Drosophila melanogaster: one gene and its partner. The gene in region 1 interacts genetically with each later gene. Each region holds a gene or a part of one and is shown on either strand. Other genes may lie near its edges. The genes, in order: Tip60 and E(Pc).

The links.
Region 2: of Tip60 (region 1) and E(Pc), changing one enhances a phenotype caused by changing the other (phenotypic enhancement), as found in Drosophila melanogaster (one study listed by BioGRID).

What each region holds. Positions count from the first base shown.
Region 1 is NC_004354.4:4,114,252-4,119,570, reverse strand, and holds Tip60 (Tat interactive protein 60kDa), read left to right. Parts: upstream 1-2,083; 5' UTR 2,084-2,718; coding exon 2,719-2,778; intron 2,779-2,845; coding exon 2,846-2,972; intron 2,973-3,026; coding exon 3,027-4,251; coding exon of another isoform or gene 4,252-4,261; exon of another isoform or gene 4,262-4,274; intron 4,275-4,356; coding exon 4,357-4,569; intron 4,570-4,641; coding exon 4,642-4,642; 3' UTR 4,643-4,771; downstream 4,772-5,319. Other genes in the region: tyf (twenty-four), read right to left, coding at 554-1,153; dgt4 (dim gamma-tubulin 4), read right to left, coding at 4,777-5,319.
Region 2 is NT_033778.4:11,450,538-11,455,495, forward strand, and holds the start of E(Pc) (enhancer of polycomb), read left to right. Parts: upstream 1-1,651; 5' UTR 1,652-1,846; intron 1,847-2,231; exon of another isoform or gene 2,232-2,348; intron 2,349-2,855; 5' UTR 2,856-3,779; coding exon 3,780-3,932; intron 3,933-3,996; coding exon 3,997-4,132; intron 4,133-4,287; coding exon 4,288-4,526; intron 4,527-4,595; coding exon 4,596-4,750; intron 4,751-4,958.

The DNA of each region.
Region 1 (5,319 bases):
TGTCAATATTTATTTTTTTTTTAATAAAATTCGGTTTTCGATAAAACAGTGTTTGTGAGTGAGTAATCGGCTCACTTAAAGTTTTTTCCAAAGGTCATGTTTTAAGGGGATTTCGGCATTTTCATTTTCGACAACTTTAATGGACCGCAAGCGTAAGAATCTATTTTAGTTTATAGCTTAGTGTGCAAATAAACAATATTTATATCTAATTTATGTATACCTTGGTTTTGGTGGTAACGTAAAGATCGGACAACTTGCTGTCCAATACTGGAATTCCACCCAAAATCGAAATTAGTTTCAAATTTTACGTTTACTTAGTTGTTTCTCAACTTAGTCGCCCTGGTAGAGCTCTATTCAAGCCTGGCCATGCATAAGATATGGAGTCCAAACACCATAGAGCTTTGGAGCCTCCAGAACGTACACAAATGTGAAATTTTGCGAGTAACAAACATAACTATACCTTTTTCTTAATAAAACAATATCTTAACTCGGTTTCTGCTTAACATGCACTATATTTCCACCTTAAGATGCAACTCAGCCAGAGCGCACTTACCTTTTTCTTCTTCTGTCGCTTGCCGACATTCTGATCGTCCTGGGTCTTGCCCTTGGCAGTGGCTCCGTACTGGAGTACCCTGCGGTTTGGTCGCGACAGTTCAGCGCTGGGCGAATCCTTTAGCATGGCAAAGACCTGCGAGAAGGACGTATCTCCTGCTGCTGCTTCTGCTGCGGATCCTTTGGCAGCGTCTGCCGTGGCTGCGTGGTTACCAGAGCTATGGCTATTACTAGGGGATGATGACTTCTTGGGGTCATTGCCTCTGCTGCTACTGCCGCTGGTGGCTACATGGTTGGCAGCCACTGGTGCCGCTCCTTGGCTGTCCTCGTCTTTGGCCCCCTGGTTCCTACAGGCCTCGTCAAGCTGCGCGTCTGCCTTCGCCACATGGTCTGACATCATGGTCATAAGCTGCTCCTGTGGGAACGGCGTCGGCGTTGTTTTGGTGACGGTGGTCGTCGTGGTGCTCTCGCTCATCGTGCCAGCGGCAATCGAGACGATGGGCGTGTCCGGTATGATCGTTGGCAGTTTGGCAGCTGCTCCACCAGATGCCACACGATCCGCCGGTGTGTCCGATGATGACGGCGTTTGTTCATTGTTCATCTTCTTTCGTTTGGTGGCATGCAACGAAGGAGAAAAACAAATGCCATTCGAATTCCTCGAATCTGTTAGGGCGTGTGAGAAGAGGGGAATGTTTGTTTTAGTAAACGGGTATATCTCGCATTCCCATTAACTGCTTACAAACTGTTTCTTCTCTTCGCGATGTTTCTAGGTAGCCCAGCTGCCCAGCCGCCGTGTGGTTGCCACCGCGACTGCAAGTGCTCTGCAGGCTGTTCCGCCGATTCCTAACGATTCCTCTCGACTTCCAGACGGTTTGAGGCACAGGGGAGCCCACCTATTGCGCATCAGTTTGGACTCCTGCTGCACTTGACAGGCCTGTCGTCAGTAGCTCTCCTCCGGCTCAAACCTTTGCTCGCGGCATTTACGTAGGTTCCTGGGCACGGGGATGCGGATTGCTCGCAAACAGACCGGAATACGGAAATGTGTGCGCACGGATCTGCAATTGATTGGGAAATGGGGATGAAGTTGAGACTAAAACTGAAACTGAGACATTGGACCACTGACTGGGTGTTTTGCAGCATTTGTTGTTGTTCTGGTCATGCGGACGAGCGACAAGGGGCGGTGGGTGGTAGCAGGTGCGTCTGTTTAGTCTTTGGCGACCCCTTGCGGCCCACTGACTTCGAATTTCTTTAAAAAGCACTGGTCTCTTTCCATATTCATTTTTTTTATTTTTTTTTTTTTTTGGCTAAAAAGCAGTGTTGCTAACTACGCTGCGTGCCAGGGTTGACAAATGCTGTTTGTTGTTTGTAGGGGCAAGCCGTTGAGATTGCTAAATCGGCGTTTGCTCTAGGCTTGCATCTTACTAATCAACACGAGATTGCCTGCCCGTTTTGCAACTAATTAGTGGGATATGCCCATCGAGTTGGCAGCCCTGCGGCTGTTGTCAGTGGCAACACTATCGCAAAACACGTCATTTTGACACAGCTTTTTCACCAATTTCCCGCTCAGCTCGTCAGCATTGGGGCACTGCGGCACAGTTGCCCAGCAGTTGTGGTCACAATTACCCAGTAACTGAAGTTTTCCGCGGATCACAGTAGTCATTTATTGATAAATACGCCAGTCGATGACAGCTGTATAACTTTCTGCGCACTCACACGAGCGCACACGAATGTACGCACCCACACACACGCACACAAATTTACGCCTGTGTACATTTCTCTGACCTTCTCAGCGTTTTTATTTTTTGGTTTGGCAACTGAAAAGAAGGGAGCACATAACTGCGCACTCAAGTTCTAGCAACTGCAATTGAGTCGAACGGTTGTGCTTAATATGTTACAGTTGTTTGTAAGCGGGCGAAATTGTTTAATTGCACAGTAGGCACATGAGAAAAAATACCGAACCCGAATTGAAAAACTCTCTGGAATTGTTGTTGTGTTGTGCAGCACTTTGAAAAGGCGACGCGACGCTGCGCAGCACTGCCCATGTCATCAACATTTTTAAACCGCTGATTCACTGTGGCGGTAATCGATTGGTCGATAGTTATTTACGTTTCGCTATCTGGCAATACTGCTGTTTTAGGAAAAAAAAAACGCGTAAAATATAAACAAATGAAAATTAACCACAAATATGAGTTCGACGACGATGTGGCCTCCATATGCGAGTCAACGGTGGGTTCCGCTACGCCTTGGCGTGTTTTGGGTGTTCATTCTAATGGTTTTAACCGCAAACTTGCAGGCCGCCCTAACCGAGGGATGTCGTTTACCCGTCAGGATGCACAAAACGGACGACTGGCCACTAGCGGAGATTGTGAGCATCAAGGAGTTGGATGGGCGCCGGCAGTTTTACGTGCACTATGTGGACTGTGAGTACCAAGTCGTCCAGTGGGAGCATATTTAGTATAACTGCCAATCCGCAGTCAACAAGCGCTTGGACGAGTGGGTCAACGAGGAGGATCTGTACACGCGAAAGGTGCAATTTCCGCGGAGAGACGGCTCACAAACAGGCACCAGCACTGGAGTGACCACGCCACAGCGCCACCATTCCCTAGCGGGCAGCGTTTCTCGGCCTACATCACCGCAACACCCTGGTTCCGGGGCTCTGGCAGCCATCCCCCAGACTCCTACTGGTGCATCAGGCAGTGTTCCTCCCCCTGCTGGCATTCCAAACTCTGTGGCTCCACCCGGAACACCAAGCAGTGGGGGAGAGCTTGTGAATGGCAACAATCTGGCCGCAGCCCTTCAGAAACGCATCAATCGCAAGCGAAAAAACCACGGAGGCTCGGCCCATGGACACCACAGTCTGACCAGTCAACAGCAGCAGTCACATCCGCATCCTACAACTCCGCAGACACCCACGGCTACGCCCGTGCATGTGACCGGCGACGGTTTAATAAGCGGAGCGGCCAATGATGATGGTGATGGATCGCAGGATGGCAAGACGCCCACGCCGAGGCAATCAGGCAGCATGGTTACGCACCAGGACGACGTGGTCACCCGCATGAAGAACGTGGAGATGATCGAGCTGGGCAGGCATCGCATTAAGCCCTGGTATTTCTCACCCTATCCGCAAGAGCTGTGTCAAATGCCCTGCATCTACATCTGCGAGTTCTGCCTGAAGTACAGGAAGAGCAGGAAGTGCCTGGAGAGGCACCTGTCCAAGTGCAATCTTAGGCATCCACCGGGAAACGAGATCTATCGCAAACATACAATTTCCTTCTTTGAAATCGATGGACGCAAAAACAAGGTGTATGCCCAGAACTTGTGCCTGCTTGCCAAACTCTTTCTCGACCACAAGACACTCTACTATGATACCGATCCGTTTCTCTTCTACGTAATGACAGAGTTCGACTCGCGCGGCTTCCACATAGTAGGGTACTTCTCCAAGGAGAAGGAGAGCACAGAGGACTACAACGTGGCCTGCATTCTCACAATGCCTCCGTATCAGCGCAAGGGCTACGGCAAGCTGCTCATTGAGTTCAGCTACGAGTTGTCCAAGTTCGAGGGCAAGACGGGATCGCCGGAGAAACCATTGTCTGATCTGGGTTTGCTGTCCTATCGATCGTACTGGGCGCAAACCATACTGGAGATCTTTATCAGCCAAAACCCGAGCACGGACGGCGAAAAGCCCACTATAACTATAAAGTATGGCTAGTTCTAAGCTTAAAGTAATACAATTTTCAATCCACAGAGATTGTGCTTCATTGCCGAAACATAGATTAATCATGCTCCCAAAATTTTTCTTCACAGCGACATCTGCGAATGCACATCCATCAAAAAAGAGGACGTGATCTCAACGCTGCAGAACCTGAACCTGATCAACTACTACAAGGGCCAGTACATCGTGTGCATCAACCGGGTTATCATCGAGCAACACCGGCGAGCAATGGACAAGCGCAAGATCCGCATCGACTCGAAATGCCTGCACTGGACACCCAAAGACTGGTCCAAGCGCTCCAAATGGTAATCTCCTCATCTTCTCCGTATAAATAACTGAGTTTAAACAGCTTTGAATCCGTTTTTTTTTGTTTTTAGATTTCCGCTACCAATATTCTTCATCGGATGATCCTGGCTTCGTTGTAGCTTGTAGTTTTCATTTACAGTTTCCGTTTTTAATGTTATAAACTAGTTTATATCATACAATATTATATATACTTTTGAGACGACCGGCTAGTTGTTTGTTTCCCGCGGTGGGAGAAGATCCTCCACAAGGCGGTCCATTGCCTGTATCATGCCCATCTCCATACCATTCTCCAATCCATCGACGGCGGTACGCAAACTTCTTAGAGCTTCTTGGTTCTGGGCGAACTCCCGTTGTTGCCGGCATAGATTTAGGCGCGGTTTGTGGGTGGTGTTCAGATGTTCCAGGCACTGCTTCACATCGTTGGAGTCCAGAATGGCGGGACGCAGATCACTGCCCAGTTTGGATCGCAAACTAGCGATATCCTTGGCCGCCTGGTCGACTTGATTCACATCAGATACACGATGGGCATCCACGGCCGCCTGCAGGGCTCCGCACTTCAGGAGCCTCGCCAGCCGCCCAAAGTCCCGCTGATACTCACACTTGGCGTCCAGCCAAATGCGTACTTGCTCCTCCACCTGGCGCTTTACATTGCGGCTGTCTTCCTGAAAACGGCGCATCGCCTCCAGGTGCAGCAGGTATTGGATGTCGTCCATGGTGCCCTCAGTTGTCAATGATGGCGGTGTGGTCGT
Region 2 (4,958 bases), on another chromosome or scaffold:
TAATTCAGATTTTAAATTGACTTTACACCTCAGCTCACCACGCACACATCTAAATAGTGCTTCCCGCCACTCACCTCAATTCGCCATTTCACCCACTCACCCCAACTCACCACACCAAGTGGCGCACGCGCCACAAATTCCACCAGTGGCGTACGCAGGATTCTCTCAAAGGGGCTTGAAAATATTTTCTTATTTTCATTTAATTCTGTAATATGCTGAAGAAGAAGAGCCCTCTCCCTGCGCACGCCACTCTCTTCAACCACCAACACGGTTGCGCAGCCGCGACAGAGAGATATGCCTTCGCTCTCTCGCAGCTGCGCCACGCCCACCACCCACAGCCACCCACGAAAATGGTGCTTTTTCACATACGACACCACTGTCTGACTATATTTTTCATCATGTACGCCATCGCAATCCATGCCACAGTGGTCGCAATGCCGCGACAGCCGCTCCACAAGTGCCACCAAATACTATTTTATTTGTGTATTTATTTTCACCGAAAATGAATTCCTGCACTTTGTGGGCGGCAGGCGCGCGTGCATTGCCGAGCATCTGAAACGTCGAGGGTAGAGATGAAAATATCGGGCGCCGCCTGTCACCGGCGAGTATTACCCAATATAAATCGCTAATGGCCACAGGCGGTCGCCGCCCCAACTGTAATTGTGAACGTCCGTGCGGCCATTGCCCAAAAATGATTACATAATACGATCGAACGAACCGAATGAGAAGCCAAAGAACTAAGGATACGAAAGCAGCTGAAATAACGTTGGAGGATCGGCGCGGGATTTTGGCAAATCGAGCTTCTTCTGCTTGGGGCTTTTCAAGCATAAGGCTTTGAGGCTTTCTTTTTACTAAGCAGGTGCTTCCAACTCGCTTTGCTGGACAAATGCCCGACATAAGTTACCATTCAAAATCGCTTGGCCAAATCAGCATTACCCCCACAAATTGTTAAGGACTAGCGAGTAAATTTTAATCGTATTCTCGAATATAAATTGAGCAAACTTTAAGTCAACGAGCACATTTGAAACTATCAAGACATTGTAACCAGCAAATAAACAAAGTTAAGCAAAACAGCGAGTACGAAAAGCCTTGTAAGAGATTATAATAAAACAAAAGCATTTAAAGGAAGTTACAAAGTGGAGTTATTATTATTTGTATGCTGTATGCACAAGTTTAATTTAAAGAATCCAAATAAAATTCTAAGCTATCCAGCACACAAAATAAAACAAAAATTGTTTTACTCATTTAATAACTATATCTATAATGTCGACTGTTCAGCAAACAAGTTGTAAATACAAATTTGAATTAACAATTTTTTATAAATTTCGAATGTTAAAGCCCATGCGTTAGCACATCTTTGCCGATGCCGCAATTGTGAGTGTTTCCGATAGCTCGCACGAAATGCACTAGCGCATGAGCACTCCGAATTATTTGCACACCACTAGCTGGGCACCTGGTGAATGGGGCTGCGTAAATTAACAACAAAATAAATAAATGCAGCTTGGCCCCGGCTATCCAAATGTATGCATGCGACCCCTCACAAAATTCCACAGATTTAGATGAAAACCGCACTCAAAACGGTTAACTATTTCGCCTGGAGGCCTAGCCAAAATAATTTCGCCACTGTGGCGACGATTTCGTTCGACTCCGACAACTCCGAATTTTCATTCGTAATGGCCGCCCATAAGTAAAAACGTGTCCCGCTGCTGAAGAACGATTATACGCGTTTGCGCTAAGCCAATTGCTTGAATTTAGCTGTAAACGGTGCGGCAGTGGTAAATACGCTGAAAACCACATCATTTAATCATATAAGAGGCCCCAACGCCCGGCAAAGAGTGTGAAAAAAGTGCGTGAAAAAATCTTAATCGATTTTTTTGTTTGTGAAAAAAAAATCATGCAGCGTTGGGCATAGTGCTCGAAGAGCTCGCCAGGGGGCGCTGACAAACTGTTCGGAGTGTCATCGGAATAAGAGGCCGGCTATTTAGCGCTGCCAACGGCGATTAATCGATAACCGTAGCGGTTTTGAAATATATATTTTGAAAGGAAAACGTCATGTTAGAGCAATTTAAAAATTCTAGCAGTAAATATTTAATTTTTGCCCATATATGACAGGGCCCTGCAGTGAAATTGCGGCAATTAAATCGACGACCGCTTATCGTTATCGCCGCCGACGGCACAAATAAATCGCGGCCCCGCTGTCCGCGGCGTCGTCGGTGTTCGGCTCTCTGGCCGCCATTATTGCTTTCCAGCGAAACCACGCTATACGCAAAATCGGGTTTATATGTGTAAATTTTTCGGGCGATTTATCAACCAGATTGCGTTCGCTGATGCATGAAAAGTGCGGTAAAGTGTGTAAAAAATTAGCGCTGGCCCAGAAAAACATACGCACTCGATGGCTGATTACTAATTAACTAGATAAAAGCAAAAAACAAAACCCACATGAGGCGGAGTTTGATTGCGTTTTTTTTTCTCACTTAACAGAGTTCTGTACAAACAAAATGTTAGCTAACAGGGCTCTGCAAAGTGAAATATCTCGCGGAAAAGGCAGTATTAAATTCGCCGCGTTTGTTTGAGATGTGTGTTTGCGCGCGTGTGTTTGTTTATGCCGCCTTTTTCTTCGTCTCGGCTTTCTATGATTTTGCATTTTATCGCATTTAAATAAAAAAAAAAAATCATGACTCATGCGGATCGTGTTTTTGTGCGTGTTAATATTAATTTAATGCAAAAGCAAAGAAATATACAAATGTATGTGGATTTGTGAGTTTTTTCCCGCGCGCGCCGCCCTCACATATCAATGTATGCGTGTGTGTGAGAGTTGTTTACTTACTAGTTTTTGTTGTTGTTATCAATTCTAGATTTTTTATCAGCCAACCGATAACACGACAGCCAAGGCGAAATAATAATAAATAATAACAAGAAGAGGAAGTCAACAAATAAGCAAAAGAAAGAAGAACACAATATTGATTTAACCTAAAACGATGATGAACTGAAATGTGCAAATTTGATGAACGTAATTATGCCAATTCACACAGAACCTTCGATTTCAACGTGAAAAATGTCGTCGACACATTTGCTGCATTCACTGTCACTGTTGTTGCTACCACTGCGTTGTCGTCGTAATTGCCACCAGATCGTTTCCTTGGCCATTGTCCTGCTGTCGGCGCTGTCAGCCAGAGCTCCCGAGGATCAAGGAGGACGACAGGAGAGGGAGGCGGAGGAGGAGGACGAGCGGCAGGCGGACCGCCGGGAGAGTGTCCAGGGGGAGGAGGAGGACACGCCCTACATAGTCGCCAATCCACACCCAATCCTCACTAGCAGTAGCACTACGTCTTCGGCCAGGGCAACGGGCACAGGGGCTGCGTTAACCAGCTGGCAGAGCAGCCACAGCCACCGCAGCCCCGGTGCTCACGATCGGGATCGGTGTCAGGAACAGGAACAGGATCAGAAGCAGCAGCACCTTTTCTACCCCAGCAAGCCCCATCTCCAGCTAACGTATACAGCCCCCTCGACATCGAGTAGAGGAGCCAACACAACGCCGACCACGAATCGGAGTAGATCCTCCAGAATCCAAATTAGCAGTTGCAGCACTAGTCCTGCCCACTGCAGTTGGACCGCCGGAGCAATCGTAGCCTCCTTAGCATCCATAGCCACCTAAGCAGTCGATTCCACTAGGCAAACTCTCAAATCAGCCACAGCAACAGCAAATAGAAACGTTCCACACACCACAACAACCCAACCCAAAACCACCCACAACCAAAACCCAAACAAAAGCCAGCAAGATGTCCAAGCTGTCGTTCAGAGCCCGCCATTTGGATCCGTCCAAGCAGATGCCCATCTACTTGGCGGAGGAGCTGCCCGACCTCCCCGAGTACTCAGCCATCAACCGGGCAGTGCCTCAAATGCCCAGTGGCATGGAGAAGGAGGAGGAGTCGGTAGGAAGTTTCTCAGTGATCCTTTATTTTGGATGAAACTAATTTTGTCCCTTATCCCTTGTAGGAGCACCACTTGCAGCGAGCGATATGCACGGGTCTGATCATCCCCACGCCCGAGGTGCTGCAGACGGATCAGCCCTTCTACGATGCCTACTATCCGCCGGACTACAAAATGCCCCGCCAAATGATCCACATGCAACGTAAGCAAAAAGCAACTACTAGAGCAGAATAATTCGTTTCGTTTCGGGCTTAGAACATTATTTTTAAATTCCATATCAATATTGAATGAAATGCAATAACTTATGTAGTTTCGTATTATTCTTGGACTAATTTTTTACAATTGTTTAACTCTCAGCTCTTGGGCTGGATACCGAGGTCCCTGACTACGACATGGACAGTGCCGATGAGGACTGGCTCAGTCAGCAGCAGCGCCTGGAGCTTACCGAACTCAAGTTCGAGCAGATGATGGACCGGCTAGAAAAGAGCTCCGGCCAAACGGTGGTCACGCTGAACGAGGCCAAGTCGCTGCTTAACCAGGACGACGAGACCAGCATATCCGTCTACGATTACTGGCTGAACAAACGCCTCAAGATGGTAATAAACACTTAGCTTGGCTATTGGCTACGGCAATATACTAAATCAACTATCTTATTCATTCTCTAGCAACACCCGCTGATCCTCACTGTGAAAACTGAGAGTCGACCAGGCGCCAGCTCCAACAATCCGTACTTGGCTTTTCGTCGTCGCACCGAGAAAATGCAAACCCGCAAAAATCGAAAGAACGATGAGGCCTCCTACGAAAAGATGCTCAAGCTGCGGTAAGAATCGAGTGAAGTTTGCCTAAAGTCGGTTGAGAAATTTTTAAATGCTGGCTAATCGGGCTACACTGCAATTACTGGACACAGAACTTGCAAACATTTTCTTTCTCTGTATCATATAAATTCAATTCCTGCCCGATTTAAATGCAGGTTTTTTATGCATGATATCCTTAATCAGGAATTTTCCCATATACAACATTTTGTTTAT